Danio rerio: one gene and its partners. The protein of the gene in region 3 interacts with the protein of the main gene of each other region in a biochemical or structural test. Links are inferred from orthologs where the notes say so. Each region holds a gene or a part of one and is shown on either strand. Other genes may lie near its edges.

Region 1 (5,442 bases), on a different chromosome or scaffold from region 3:
CCCCCCATGCATGGAGGGCTTTTTGCCAGGCTGGGGTTGCTGCTCCACTGCTGAGGCGTCTTGGCCTGGATAGAGAGCGCATGGATGCAGGTACTGAGCTCCTCCTTCAGGGTCTCGTTTACCAGCCGGTGACGCTGTAACAAGGAAAGACCTTCGAACTGAGGACTCACCACCAGAACTTTGAAGTGGGACTCTGATCCAGGGGGAACGGCGTGCATGTGGCTCTCATTTATGACCTCCAGGTGCTCAGGATTGAGGGCCTTGCTCAGTTTGGTGCGTATGGTGGTCTCTACGGGACGGGGAACACTTGGGTCCATGTGGTGAGCGAGAGGTCTGGATAAGACAAGGGTGCTGGAGATGGGACGCAGGCAGCGTAGAGCACTGGACAGCATCAGGCGTGGAGGAAAACACCTGCAAGATGTTAAAGTTTCATGACAAGCGGTTAAAAACAAGTGATTAAGGGATAGTTCACCAAAAACTGAAAATTATGTCATAATTAGCTCACCATTTACTTGTTTGTCTTTCTTCTGTTAATCACAAAAAGAAGATATTTTGAAAAATGTTGTAAAACTGTAACCATTGACTTCCATAGTATTGGTTTATCCTGCTATGGAAGTCAATGGTTACAGGTTTTCAGCTTTTTTCATCAAAATATGTTCTTTAGTGCTCAACAGAATAAAGAAGCTAATATATTAAGTGGCTGAAACCCCCTTGAGTGTCTGTAAATTTGTGTTTTTGAGTGAACTATCCCTTTAAATCAGAGATGCCCAAAGTAGTGCCCGCAGGCCAAAGTTGGCCCATTGTAACTTTTGATTTGGCCCACCACCGGTAAGGAGAGTGAGAATGATGGAGAGGTTTGGGCGAAGGCGAATGTTATTTCTAATATGATGTAAAGTTTTTTTGCTTGTTTGTTTTATTGTTGAGCTATAAAAAAGCTTTGCCAGAAATTTGTTTCAATTTATGTAAATGAATCAGATTTTTGTAAATGTACAGTAAATAATGTCACTCAATGGATAGAGGACTATGCAGAAGACATTAGGTAGCAAATCAAGGCAAAACTAGTTTAATTCTGTTATAAATGACATTGTTTTTACTGTAATAAGTTTATAATAAAATATAATATTTGCTGTATTAGTTGATACAAAGCAATGTTTTCTAGTCATTTTAAATATTATTAAATAAAATGGGGCAACCATTACTGCATCCAAAATGGTGAAAAGCCTTGGAGTAACGATTGATGACCAACTAAACTTCTCTAACCACATTTCTAGAACTGCTCGATCGTGCAGATTCGCACTCTATAACATCAGAAAGATCCGACCCTTCTTATCTGAACATGCAGCTCAACTCCTTGTTCAAGCTCTTGTTCTCTCCAAACTGGATTACTGCAACTCTCTACTAGCTGGGCTTCCAGCTAACTCTATCAAGCCTCTTCAACTGCTCCAGAACGCAGCAGCACGAGTGGTCTTCAATGAACCTAAACGAGCACATGTCACTCCGCTGCTAGTCCGTTTGCACTGGCTGCCAGTTGCTGCTCGCATCAAATTCAAAGCTCTGATGTTTGCCTACAAAGTGACTTCTGGCCTTGCTCCTTCTCATCTGCTCTCACTTCTGCAGATCTATGTGCCCTCCAGAAACTTGCGTTCTGTGAATGAACGTCGCCTTGTGGTTCCATCCCAAAGAGGGAAGAAATCACTTTCGCGAACGCTCATGCTCAATCTGCCCAGCTGGTGGAATGAACTCCCTAACTGCATCAGAACAGCAGAGTAACTCGCTAATTTCAAGAAACGACTAAAAACTCAACTATTTAGTCTCCACTTCACTTCCTAATCTGCAATTGCCTCTGAATATTACACAAACTGTACCCAAGAAAAAATAAAAATACTAATACTACTAATACTTTCCTTCTTAGACTTTACAGACCTGAAACTTGCCTATAGCACTTATTCATTGTTGCTCTTAGTTGTGTAAATTGCTTCCTTGTCCTCATTTGTAAGTCGCTTTGGATAAAAGCGTCTGCTAAATGACTAAATGTAAATGTAAATTAGGAAATTAGCCATGGCAACTGCATTTACCTTCAGCCCACTAGCCATGCAAGTTTGGCTTTTAAATGGACAGTTCACAAAAAAAAAAACATTTCCCCACCATTTACTTACACTTAATAAGTTCGAAAACAAAAGAAGATATTCTGTAGAATGTTGGGGGAAAATAAGTAATTGAAACCATAGAAGAAACAAACAAACCAAAAAACACTAAGTCAATGGTTGTTGTTTTTTCCAGGATTCATCAGTGTATCTTTTTTCATGTTCAAATGAAGAAAGAAACTCGGATAATTTGGTATAATAATATTCATCTTTGGGCGACATGGTGGCACAGTAGGTAGTGCTGTCGCCTCACAGCAAGGAAGTCGCTGGCGTGTCTGTGTGGAGATTGCATGTTCTCCCAACGTTCGTATGGGTTTCCTCCGGGTGCTCCGGTTTCCCCCAACAGTCCAAACACATGCGGTACAGGTGAATTGGGTGAGCTAAATTATCCGTAGTATAGTGTATGAGTGTGAATGAGAGTGTATGGATGTTTTCCAGAGATGGGTTGAGCTGGAAGGGCATCCTCCGCGTAAAACATAAGCTGGATAAGTTGGCGGTTTATTCCGCTGTGTAGACCACAGGTTAATAAAAGGGACTAAGCGGGAAATAAAATGAATATCCAGATTTAGGTTTAGTTAATATATTGTTTGTTTATTATTTTCCCTTCAAAACACCATGTCCTTAACGTGATATAAAAACAATTACAAAACTTCGAAATTTTCTTTAGAAATTGCGAATTTTGATAGAAAAATCGAGATTTAAAAGTCAGCAATATGCTCATTAAAACATTATTTGTTTTACTGTATTATTAAAGATACCTGAGCCTATAACAGAACTCATATTTTGTTTATCTGACTTATGAAACGTTATTGAAGTGAACCGAAACACTTTGAACACTCTATATCTTCAGCAAAACAGAGAAAGACCGCAAACGCTTGCTTAAATAGGGTTGAAACATATTGGCCGCCATCAGTTAGAAATCTTAAAACAAAAACAAATAAGTTAACGTTACCGGTGCAAGTACATATCTACAAGAACAGCGTAAGACATGTCATAAAATGAATGCAGCTTAACATGACAACCAGTCTAAAAATATATATAAACAGGTGCTAAAATATGTTAAAATCGACACAATGACAAATTACAGACTGGCAAAATAATTTTACTCACCTTTGCTCTTCAGCGTGTTGTTATTGTATCACACACAGGAAGCGATTCAGGCAGATCCTCCTTCACAGTTTGGATTGCAAGCAGCTGAAATGACTTTACTGCCCTCTAACGCCTGTACAGGGAGTTACGTCAGATGCGCGAGCTGTTCTGTTATTGGGATATACTGCAAAGTCTGTCTATTAAAGGGGGCTTTGGTTATACTAAATGGATTTAATTAATTATTACATAAATCATATATCTATTGGAAACTCCAGAGACAGTAAACACAACAGTATTGACTGAAACATGTTGTTAGTGATTTTAAAGGCTTAAACATTTTTAAAACAATTTTAAGCTTATCTGTTCAGTTTTCCAAAACAAATCTCAAATCAAAGGTCCAATCAAATTAAAGCAGGCGGTTTATGTTTAATCAGAAAAGCGCGAAGTTTACCGCCAAGATGATTCATTGAGGTAAGCTTGAAGTAATTTGTAGTAAACATTTAGCCCAGTGGTCACCAAACTTGCTCCTGGAGGGCCAGTGTCCTACAGATTTTAGCTCCAACCCTAATCAAACACACCTGAACAAGCTAATCAAGGTCTTACAAGGTATGCTTGAAACATTCAGGCAGGTGTTTTGAGGCAAGATGGAGCTAAACCCTGCAGGGACACCGGCCCACCCGTACCAGGATTGGTGACCCCTGATTTAGCCTATACTGTAACAACACCCAGATAGCAATACACTCAGGCCAATTCCGGCTAGATTCTCGCCTGCCGGAGACTTAGTCTTTTAATAAATTGATATAAAACCTTTTGGTATTACATTGATACTTGATACATGGTATTACAACCATTTGAATTTACATAACAGCAAACGCAGGCTATAGTGTAAACGCAAAGTGTAGGCACTGCGTTAACCTTTGAATAATGCAAACAGCTTACATATCTGATTACGAAAATAACCAAACAAAGGACAAAATAAATAATAATAATAAACGTTTGTTGATTGCAAGAAACAAAAAATACAAAAATTGAATAAATTATTTAAGATAGAAAACATCCAGTACTGTAAACCACTCGACATTTTTCCTTTAGTCGTTTTATGTTGCATATTCATGGTGTATAATTCATGTAATTTAACAGAATGTAGGCTTTCTAGCCTAAGTTAAACCTAAGACAAGACATTTACGTTTTCAACACGTTTAGTATAGACGTTTAGATTGAATGTGAATTTTAAAAGATAGAACTTGCTAAAATAATTACAAACTAGAATTAAACATTACTTTACTGTTTTATGTCTTTAATTTCTAAAACGATATATTTAAGACATGATTGTGACTTTTGCATCACCCTAAAATTCAATCAAAACATTCAGAGCATTTATTTTGATCTGGCGGCAAATAAATGGTCACAATATTCATTTTAATTTCTTGAGGATAACCAATGGCGAATTACCTGAGGTTGCAGATTTAAAACTTTCTCGTGCAAAAAAACCGAGGTTCTGCCTTGCCAAAGACAAGGAAAGAAGTTGAAGCTATACAAGGCCAGGGTAATTTATCATCAACTGCATTCTGACAGCGAACTGCACCTTTACGGCAGAGTATCTGAATGTACATTTTTACATTTCATTCTAAGCATTCAGTGTCTGAAGTTTAATGAACAATATTTAATTGTTTTTGCTGAAATCATTGCTGCAATCAAAAACGAGTAATGTGTATAATTCAGCATAGCGTGAACTTACCTGATATAAAATTAAAACAGCAGAGTCCAGCATTTTTAATTAGGTCCTCACTCCATTCAGCTCTTATGATGGCTGATGGCCAAAGACATCTGCGGATGGCATTAAAAGCAGTGAGGTATACGCTAAAATTTAAGTTTTCTATTTTTGACTTTTTAACTATTTCTATCTAATATATTTCTATTAGAATATCTTTGACAGCCTTTTTTTTTTGCAACCGGTATGCGCAGTTGAACCCGTGTGACCTCATGTGTGATGTAGATTGGTAATTCTCCTATAGCTTTCAGTTTGGTTCTGTGTTGAAAGATAGGACAAAATGACTATAATAATTAGTAATTGTTCTTTTGTTAAATGCTACATTTATACTAAATAAGTAAATAGAATCTCAACTAACAGTGTTAGGTTCCCAGAACATTCTCTGTTCTCTAACCAGAAAAGTGTTGTTTACAGAATTAGAATGTTCCCTCTAGGTTA
Region 2 (5,182 bases), on a different chromosome or scaffold from region 3:
ATGTGGACAACACAACATCTAAATCAAGTCATTTTAGCATGTCAAAGTCACATTTATGTATATAAAATATATTTTCCAAACAACAAAATTGTGGCTATTGATAATGGCAAGTGGCTAGTAATGTTGGAAATCTACTAGCCACAGTGGCTGGTGATCAAAAAAGTTAATGTAAAGCCCTGTGTGTGTGTATATATAGATATATATATATATATATATATATATATATATATATATATATATATATATATATATATATATATATATATATATGAAAATGTGAAGGGGGCTAATAATTCTGACTTCAACTGTATATATATATATATATATATATATATAGATTTGAGAAAAATGTCTGCAGATTTGCAGTTGAAATCAGACATTTTCCAATTGGCCTAGGCATTAATCGAAACATATTTACTTGATTGTTAAAATGCTGTCAGGGCCTATGTTGTAGGTATTGTCTTTGTATTGGAGTTTATTTATGCATTTATCTACTTTTTTCCTTTTTTCCCCTTTTATTGTAATGCATTGTCTTTTTTAAGCAGTCACTGTTATTTATTTATTATAATAATTGATCTATTATTACCATTTATCTATTATTTTATTTTTGTGACTGTAAACATTCTAAGTAAATGTTATGTGTACACTATGTTTATAAAAAATTGAATTAAAACAGAGTAAAAACAAAGTGCACTGCACTATTATTCGAGTATTTTGAACCCATTTGCTTTTTTACTTACTTGATTGACTAATTGGTGTTGCTGTACTGTTCTCTTTCCTTTAAATTCATCAGACTCGATGTGTATTTCATACATTGCACCACATCCTCCTGAAATTACAAATACATTACTACAGGTCTTTAAACATAAGATCTGAAGCTTAAAGGGATAATTAACCTAAAACAAATAAATTAAAATATCAAGAGTTCAGATGCAAAAGCCAAACATCCATTTCCGCCAAAAATAAGATAACGACACTGAGTGAATGCTTTAGGCACGTAGTACATGTTCAACAAATATTTTTGCTTGAAATCATTTAAATCTCAGCATCAGCCCATTCAGAAATAACAGTTTGTTGGCAAAAGCCCCTAAATGCCACTTGCTTTTGACAGCAAAAGCCGATATATCCCGAGAACCAATCAGAAGGCGCAAATTGAATCATATGTTTTTAATGTAGCGGTGCGCTGATACGGCAGCTTTTGTGAGGAGACTGTTTTATTCTGCTTTCGATTTTAAAAGATGGAGTTTGAGGAATTGGATGAGCTTGTCCGACTGTCAGTGAGTGGCAAATGAAAACGTCCCTTACCTTAAAACTCTGTGCATTATAAGGAAAAGACAATACACTGTACAGTCAGAAGTGTAGCATGCATTCATAATGTTTTTTTTTTTGTGTAGTGACACTATTTTGAATGAGTCCGGCTAACTATACATTAAACGGCAACTCCATTTCACGAATGACAGAGTTAAGATGGCGTTCTTTTGTCCCGTATGGATGCTATGAGGATAAACAATAGACAAAGACTGTGAGTATGGAATGAATGACAGCTTTTAAAAGTGTCCCCTTTTTGACTAGTAGGCCTACCTTGTGTTCTATTTGCTATTGTAAGCTATTTTTAAAAAGATTAATTTTTTAATCTTGAAGAAGATTTATACTTCATAATAGTTATATACCTAATAAGCTTTTTATATTAATGGACAAAGCAGTTATTGATGATTTACAATGTTTTTACAAATGTTTACATTGCTCTATTTACATTAAATCTAAATCCCAAATATCAGAAATGACAACAGATTAAGATTTAATTCATATCAATTTTAATGTAATTGATTGATGCACTTACTTGACAGATTTCATTCATTCATTTTCCTTCTACTTTGTCCCTGGTTTATCAGGGGTTACCACAGCGGAATGAACCGCCACTTACTTGACAGATTTGAATATTTTTAGTTTTAGGTGTTTAATGTTTGGTAAAATAATTTTTAATTGCATCTTTAGTGATTTTTTTAACTAATTACACTGTCTTGTCCCAATAGGTGGATTTAGAGGTTCTTGCAACAAAAAAAAAAAAAAAAAAAGCAGAGGTGGATTTAGCTGGTTGACGCAAAAGAAAATCTACTTTCTTAAAAAACAAAAAAAATTGTCTAAAGTGACATTTTTGGAAAATAAATTAAATAAAAATTTAATTTACTAGCTAATAACATTATCATTAGCTATAAAATAAAACTTCTGAACCTAATTATAAAAGCCTGATAGAAAATAATGATTTACAAGAAAAGAGGTCTGCTATTTGGAGGGTTTTGCATCTGAACTCTCCATTTATTGCTTCACTATTTACTCACAGTGGTTCAAAACTTTCATGAATGCCTAACATTCTAAATAATGTTGAAAAGAGCAGCCACTGGCCTCCATATTAGTAAAAAAAACTCTACGAAAGTAATTTAGGTAAAGCTGGTTTTATATTTGAACATTCCGACTTTCTCCTTAATGATATACTTTAAGAACAGTATTCTTTGCACATTCGGAACAAGGAAATCATATTAGCCGCCAATGACTATCAAAGTACAACATCTCTTAAATGAATCATGCCGAATATTCAAAGTAACGTCACAAGTTGTCATAGCTAAAAAACGAACAAACGTAAACATATAAAACCAACTTTACCACATTATAAACGTCGACAGCTGCTTTTCCAACTTTCAGCAGTAGTCTACATATTCCTAAAACTTTTTATTCCTACAGAAGAAACTCAAACATGTATGGAACAAGTGGAAGATGAGGAAATGATGACATAACCTAAATTTTTGGGTGAACTATCCCTTTAATTCAGGGTCGGTCGAGACTCACCTGATATATCCACAACTTTAAGAGCTGTAGCTTGAGGAAACTTCTCCTTCAATACTTGTGCGATTCTCACCTCTCCGTCGGTCTGACTGGATAAAGACCTCGCGATTATATTTCTACACAGCACCTGAGGCTAAAGACACAAGGAAACATAACATAAACAGTGTATCTTATATTTAACAAGCAAACTAATCTCTCAACGCGACACATGTACTGTCATCTTGAACAAATGCTCAGCAAACAAAAACACCTCGGTCAAAATAAAGACAGATAGGATTGGTATATTTACGTTGTGTCTGATGGCTCTAAGCAGAGACATGATGGTGTCGATGGAGTTTTTAAATTCACCAAAATGTCATAAAATATATTGAGCACAAAATACACTTGACAAAGTCATGTCCTGTTCAATTCCAGCGCCTGTCTCAGGAATATGTCGTCACGATCTTCAGAAACATTTCTCTAGCGCCTCCCTGTGATCAAACTGTAAATTAATTTTGCAAATGTGAGGGATTTGAACTTTTCTCTGGATTCGAATCTTTTGACTATGTTCCCTAAAAGATTCACAGACTTCTTCTCAAAGTTACTAGAGAAGCGGTCGCATTTCAGAGTAATGTTTGTTAATGGACACACTTTATTTTAAGGCACAATTCCCGCTGTTAATATCCAAACCATTTGCCAAGATAAACTTATAATTTGCTTCTTATTAATAGTCTAGTAATTACAACTGCTATTAAATAGAAATAGGGGCAGTAGGGATGTATAAAACCATAATAAACTGCATAATAAACATATTTTTTAATAATCTTTACTTTTTGTTAGTAAAAATACTTAAACTAAAGTGTTACTTTGTTGATTAATTTATGTGGACAAAACATTTTTTTCATATATACAATTATTATTATTATAGTTATTTTGCTATTATTATTACCAAGGAACCAAAATGAAATAAAGGAAACCATCACAAAAGATTCTAATAGGTTACGAATATAATTAAACAATTACAATCATATTTTGACTTTTAAACCTGTACATTTGAATGTTTTCTAGTGTGTTTTTGGGACATATTCCATTAGAATTTATTAGTTTGAATATGCAAATAATAGATGGCAAAAATGTCCATAAAAGGTTTCCATTAAAACCCAATATAATCCCCATTATAATCAGTGCCAGATTTTGCAGGTACATTTATAAGCGAATTATCAGTTTGTAAACATTCAGGATGCGCATGCAGCGAGGTTGCAGAAAAAACCAGGAGTGCAAGCATTTACAGCGAGGGAATGTTTGTTGTTGTATTAGAGATAAGTTATATTGATTACATATAATAATTATATAATGCTTTCAGGGTATTGAAACAGCTCGTCACCCAGTGTTAAACACAGTTATTAGGCAAAATTAATGTTAAAGTGAGCGGTGTTCATCTGACAGGTCCATTTGCGGTAGCACCCTCCCAATGGATATTGGATAAGTCGAAATGGCCAAGCATCCAGCCCAAAATATACAACTATCTCATTGAAACTCGACATGGTTTTACAAGAGAGAATTTAAAGGCCTACAAGTCTTTGGATGCCAACATGTTCTGTGTGGTCATGTGCAAGAAATTATGTTCCATTACTTCCAGATTCAAAACTCTGTAGTGCAAAAAACCGAGGTTCTGCCTAGCCAAAGACAAGGAAAGAAGAAGGAGCTATACATGATGGCCTGGGTAATCATCAACAAGCAAAACAACTGCATTCTGACAGTGAACTGCACCTGCATGGCAGTGTGAACTTAAATTTTTACATTTCATTCTAAGCATTCAGTGTCTGCAGTTTAATTCACCATATTTAACGTTTTTTGCTGAAATCATAGCTGCAATCAAAATCAAGTAATCGAGTACTTACCTCATGTGAAATGAGAACTGCAGAGCCGAGCATTTTTAATAAGGTCCTCACTCCATTCAGCTCTACTGATGGCTGTTAGCCAAAGTCGTCTACGGCTATCATTAAAAGCAGTGTGGTGTACAGTAAAATTTAGGTTTTCTATTTTTTCCGATTTTGGCATCCTACCGCACAACATGACTTGTTTGCTATTGTAACGGTCTTTATTTGCAACCACTATGTGCGGTTGAACCCGTGTGACATTATGTGTGACGTAAGTTGGTAATTCCCCTATATTCTCAAAACATAGTATTTGCATCAATTCTTGTGTTTTGCTGCAAAAATACAGACACACACAAATTTGTACAATTGTTTTTGTTTTTAACTTAAGAACCATATCTGCTGCGTAAAACATAAAACAACTGGATAAGTTGGCGGGTTCATTCCCCTGTGGCAACCCCTGATTAATAAGGGGACTAAGCTGA
Region 3 (5,390 bases):
TATTAAATATTTTAATAATATTTTGTTTTTATTTGTATAAAAATAGATGCAACAATATGGCTATGCTAAAACCACAACAAAAATAATAATAGAAAACAATAAAATTAGACAACAACTAGTCAACAAAATAAATACAATTTAAAATCTAATAAATAAATTGATAATTTCTAATAATAATTAAACAAGACCCTTCAGGCCATAACAATATGCTATATAACTATTTTCTGGTGAAAAAAATTGTGTCTTTTATAGCTGGAAATCATGATTTCTCTTTTTCATTTTTTTTTTCATTATGAATTATTGTGTGTGTGTGTGTGTGTGTGTGTGTGTGTGTGTGTGTGTGTGTGTGTATATATATATATATATATATATATATATATATATAATATAATATATGAATGATATATGCATTTGAGAAGTAACATTAATTATTAATTTATGTTAAACAGGATGCTACTTGCACCATGTTGTAGCATTCATTTTAAATTGTCATCTACTTTGTTTCCTTTAAACTGCCTGGTCCTAAACTTTCAAGTCAAGGCTTTACTGTTTGCAAACTAACCTCAGCCATTTAAGGTTAACTCCCCAAATTCTTCCTGCTGCTCTGGACTGATAAAGACAATCAGAGCTGACAGCACTGCTGTTGCCGTTAGCACACATATGCTGGACTAATTCAGTTTTAGACCCAAGTTATCAACAAATAAATTGTTTTAAGAAAAATAAATAAATAAATAAATAAATAAATAAATAAATAAATAAATAAATAAATAAATAAATAAATAAAAAAATCTGCAGGTATTTTAAATATTTTTGAATTACTTAAATAATTTGTTATTTCAACTTTTTTAAAATATGCATACATTTTAACTACAAATGAAAATACAAGCTGTCAAATATTAAGTAACTCAAAAAAGGTTTTTAACAAGTGAAGGCTAAGTAAAAAAGATGACAATTTTTCTTTTTTTTGGGTGAACTTTCCTTTTAAGGTCTAGTATCTTGTGGAAAACTTCTGAGAAAAAAAAAACACAACAACAACAACAACAACGTACCTTTATCTTGTACAAATTGCTTCAATCTCATAACTTAGTGTAACATCAAGGCAATATTACCACATAATAATGAGGAAAAAAAAACATTTTTATGATCTCATATTAAGCAATATAAGACTAGTATAACGACCAATAATGGACTCCTTGGTGCTATTACAAGAAGACAAAACTATTTCAAAACTGCCTCTTAATGATAACATTCCTTAAAACAATGAAAAATGTCCTCATGACAAATGTCTCAGTAATCTCTCATATTAGATACAAAACATGCAAAAATTAGGATTAATAAAAATACAGAATTTTCTGGTTATTGGGACTTAAAAACATCATTTTTAAATTGACTTATAACTTCAAAATCTCTCGTTGATATCTTGTGACTGGTGATGGAATATATGAGCAACGAGAAACTTTTTCAAATTGATAAATAATAATAAAATAGTAATAATAAGAGATGCCAAACCATTATTGTGTGCAACGATGTATAACATTTATAAAAGTTCCCCATAATAATGAGGAATTTCCTTGTGATGATGCTAAACTTAAAATAAAACAATATAGTTGATAGATGTCTGAATAAGCATCCTAAAATAATGGAACACTGTCATGTAATGATGCTTTGGTTTCCCATAAGAACAGAGTGAATATAAAACCAACTTTACCTCTATGATTTCAGAACGAATATTCAAAAATATGGAACTTATCATAAGTTGTCACTGAATATAAACCCAACTTTACCTCGTTTAAAATTTGTCCTATGACAAGAATGGGTGGTGTTTTGTATACTTGTATATATCTTTCTCAAGTCATTATATTGATTAATGTTATGTTAATTCATATGTTAAATCACTGTTAGGGGATTGTTATATTGATAATGTATTAACAGTAAAAGCTGATAATGTTGAGATGATAAGGTGAAGTTTCAAACTTTATGAGAAATCAAGTAATTATTAAAGTGTCATTATTTTTATTTAGTTTTTTTTTTTTTTTTACAATTCATTAGTTAATATTGAGAAATTGATGAGAACCATTTTATTAATGTTGTTTTTTACTAATTTAGTACTATGAGAGAGGACTGTACATCATATACAGTATTTAAATGATCTGTTATTTGAAGTGTAGGTCATTCGTTCATTTAGAAGTCTCAATATTATTTACCATGTTACTTTGAATATTTGATCGGAATTAGCATGCAAGTATGACTACTAAACAACATTAACACACTGTATTTCACTGTGAACAATGCTGTACTTTGATAGTATTTGGTGCTAAAATAATTTCTCTTTTTAGAATTTGCAAAGAATACGTTTCTGAAATTATATTATTTAGTAGAATGTCTGAATATCCAAATATAAAACCAACTTAACCACTATTCTGAAGTCACATGCAAGTATTAACTTACTTAAAAACACAATTAGCACTATTAAGTGGTCTGTGAACAATGTACTTTAATAGTCATGGGCTGATTTCATTACTTAGTATTTGCAAAGAATACTTAACAGAAATTATATTATCAAGGAAAAGGCCATAATGACTGAATTTAAAACTAACTTTACCTTAATATGTTTGCAAATATATGCACATAAAGCGTTACACTTAAGATATACTTATAACTTACATTTTTTTTTAAAGTGACAGCTTAAATTTGACCTTTAAACTAGTTATTTCTGATTAGCATGCTATATGCTCAAGAATAATCACACTAGAGATTAGCACTTCACCCAAGTCAAAATGTAACTCTAACCAGTTTTAAAACTCTACAAATCCTCCAACCCCCAGAGACCATCAGCCACTGACCTTGTCTGACATCCTGGTCATCCAACACGTTATAAGAAGCGTAATTATCGACTCCGTGCATCCTGAGGATCTGAACGACGGCGTTGCTGAAGCCGCACATGGGCTGAGCCGGAGTGCCTTTCATGAACACGACCACCTTGTCCTTCTTCACCATCTCCTCCAGGTTCTTCTGTCCCGCTGAGGAGCACATGAGACGGGCCCTGCCGACCGACAGCTCCCCGTTCTTATGCGCGGTTTTGTACTGCCATGTCGCCGAGCGAAGACACCGCGCTGTCGACCTAAAAACGCTATTCATTGTGCAAGTCTGCGCGGTTTAGGGGGATATTTGAAGCAGTTTAAGTTCGTTTGTCACTTCTCTTTTGCCGCGACGTAGAACTCACTGGAGACTGGACTCAAGCTCCACCTCTTCTAGTATAAACACTCAGCGAGTGAAGTTTATTGGATGTCGGGTTTTTCTTCTCCCCTATGATTGGTTGAAGAATACGTCAGTCGTGAATGTTACGAAATGTTACGATTTTTTTATTTTCATCTCTAATAATTTCAGTTTATACGGTGCGAAAAAATGTGATTAAATGTGTCTACTTGCATTTGTTGTCACTGTAACTAAAACACGTTTGTTTGTTTTTGCTGAAAGAAGTGGAGTGGAGGCGTTTGCATCCGGTTAAAATGTACGCTAAAGTTTTTCTTCCGGTAGTCAACTGATTCATCTTCTAGAATCGACTCATTTAAACTGATCGATTCATTTCAAATAAACCATGGTAAATAATCCACACTCGGGTGGATTTAATCAATAAGCAAGATAAGCGGCAGTTTAGGGAACAAGGAAATCTGAGGGCCCCAAAATAAATACCTATAATTATAAATTATACCTATAAATTATATATAACACAATTTTCTGTCATATTTTTTATGATGAGTGTATAATAAAAAAATAAATGTTTATTGTTTATTACATCTGCGCAAATGTATCACCCCCTCAGTCATGGAGAAGTCCAGCAGTCAAATTAGGTAAAGATTAAAAAAAAAAAAAAAAATCGTATTTTATATATAGTTTTAGTTGTGAATTAATTTTAAGAAAACTCATTTAAAACGTTTTCAAGATGCTTTACATGTTGTTATTATTTTGGCTTGAGACAAAATATAGAAAATGAGTGATTGAGAGATATAAGAAAAAGAAACAGCAAAATAAATCATTTAAAAATAACTTAAAATAGAAAAGTTGCATTTCAGAACTTTTGGGCCCCATGGCTGGAATTGCGAGCCCCTAAATCACTAAACCAGCCCATGCCACACTGTATCGCTGGGAATGGATTTGAGGTTAAAGATTTTTCTTCCAAACCTCACATATAAACGTATTTCATTTAAAAGAAGATCTACTTTGCAAGCACACATAAAAAAAAATAAAATAAAATAAATAAATAAATAAAAAAATAAAAAATAAAAAAACTTACAGTTTCATGGTTGTGTGTGCGCACTTATAGTATACCTTTTCCCATTTGTGTATTTATGTATTAATTCATGTAATCATGACTATTTTATTGTTACTTATTGTTCGTGCATTTGTGTTTTTAATGCTTGTTTGTTTATTTTTTGTGTATACATAATTGCATTTTATAATATTTGCATGTTAAAATATTTCAATAAAACTAAATAAAACACATTTTAAAATCAAATCTTTATTTTTTGTTTTGGCTTATTTTATTGTTTACTTAAAATACTTTATAAAATTAATTTATAACCAAGTTATTAAAGTAAAAGTGCTAATACCAACTCTTTATCCCTGTAGTTTCACAGCATTAATTTAAAACGAATATGACATATTTTAACCGTAAACACAATAAGAATTTTAAATTGTTCAAACTAACTTGTCCATGAATCATACACAACGGTGTTTGTGAAAATGACTCAGTCTAAGGATTCGACTCTGAGTGAATGATTCATTCACGAAGCTCTATTTAACTGCACGATGTTGCATGGGCTGAGGAGACATGTTGTTGAAGGCTGCATAAATGTTACTTGTATGAAGTAAGTAGCTTAAGATAGCCTACTTTTGCACGCATATTGGCATGATTAAAGCAGTGCAGTCTCGCGGTCCGGTCTCCTGTTTGTCCAGTGACTCGAGACTCTGCGAAGCTGCACAGATCAGACTGAAGGATCCAAAGGCGTTACTTCTCCAGACTGAAGTTTTACGTGCGATATTCTTTCGACAGATCTTAACCTGTTTCCACGGCGGTAATGGTTGTGTTGTACCGTTACCAATCTAAAAACAGGCAGAGTAAAACAGCGGCAGTCAGATATTGTCTGGCAGGAGGAGCGCGCCTTTCAGACACTTCGAATTGCCACAGTTGTAGCATTGTGTTGCGGAGGAACCATTGATTAATTCATATTAACTTCTTTTATAGGTTTGAGACCGAATAGAAGCACGGACCCTGAATTGCTCGACAAAATGTGTTTAAAATGGCTTTGTTTACACTTATAACTAATTTATTGTTAAATAAAACAAATTGTACAAAACCTTTTGCAGTATTTTCCTACAGTTGTGTTCTG

Evidence for each region.
Region 1: the proteins of glrx5 (region 3) and bola1 form a complex in vitro, tested with the Homo sapiens proteins (2 studies listed by BioGRID). The link is inferred for Danio rerio from reciprocal best matches to the Homo sapiens genes GLRX5 and BOLA1.
Region 2: the proteins of glrx5 (region 3) and bola3 form a complex in vitro, tested with the Homo sapiens proteins (4 studies listed by BioGRID and IntAct, with this or other methods). The link is inferred for Danio rerio from reciprocal best matches to the Homo sapiens genes GLRX5 and BOLA3.

What each region holds. Positions count from the first base shown.
Region 1 is NC_133191.1:50,673,406-50,678,847, reverse strand, and holds the start of bola1 (bolA-like protein 1), read right to left. Parts: upstream 3,327-5,442; 5' UTR 3,255-3,326; intron 412-3,254; 5' UTR 393-411; coding exon 1-392. UniProt on the Homo sapiens protein: Acts as a mitochondrial iron-sulfur (Fe-S) cluster assembly factor that facilitates (Fe-S) cluster insertion into a subset of mitochondrial proteins. Probably acts together with the monothiol glutaredoxin GLRX5. May protect cells against oxidative stress.
Region 2 is NC_133182.1:70,717,923-70,723,104, reverse strand, and holds the start of bola3 (bolA-like protein 3), read right to left. Parts: upstream 3,327-5,182; 5' UTR 3,161-3,326; coding exon 3,131-3,160; intron 2,975-3,130; coding exon 2,845-2,974; intron 830-2,844; coding exon 741-829; intron 1-740. UniProt on the Homo sapiens protein: Acts as a mitochondrial iron-sulfur (Fe-S) cluster assembly factor that facilitates (Fe-S) cluster insertion into a subset of mitochondrial proteins. Probably acts together with NFU1.
Region 3 is NC_133195.1:10,649,891-10,655,280, forward strand, and holds the start of glrx5 (glutaredoxin-related protein 5, mitochondrial), read right to left. Parts: upstream 3,188-5,390; 5' UTR 3,139-3,187; coding exon 2,844-3,138; intron 1-2,843.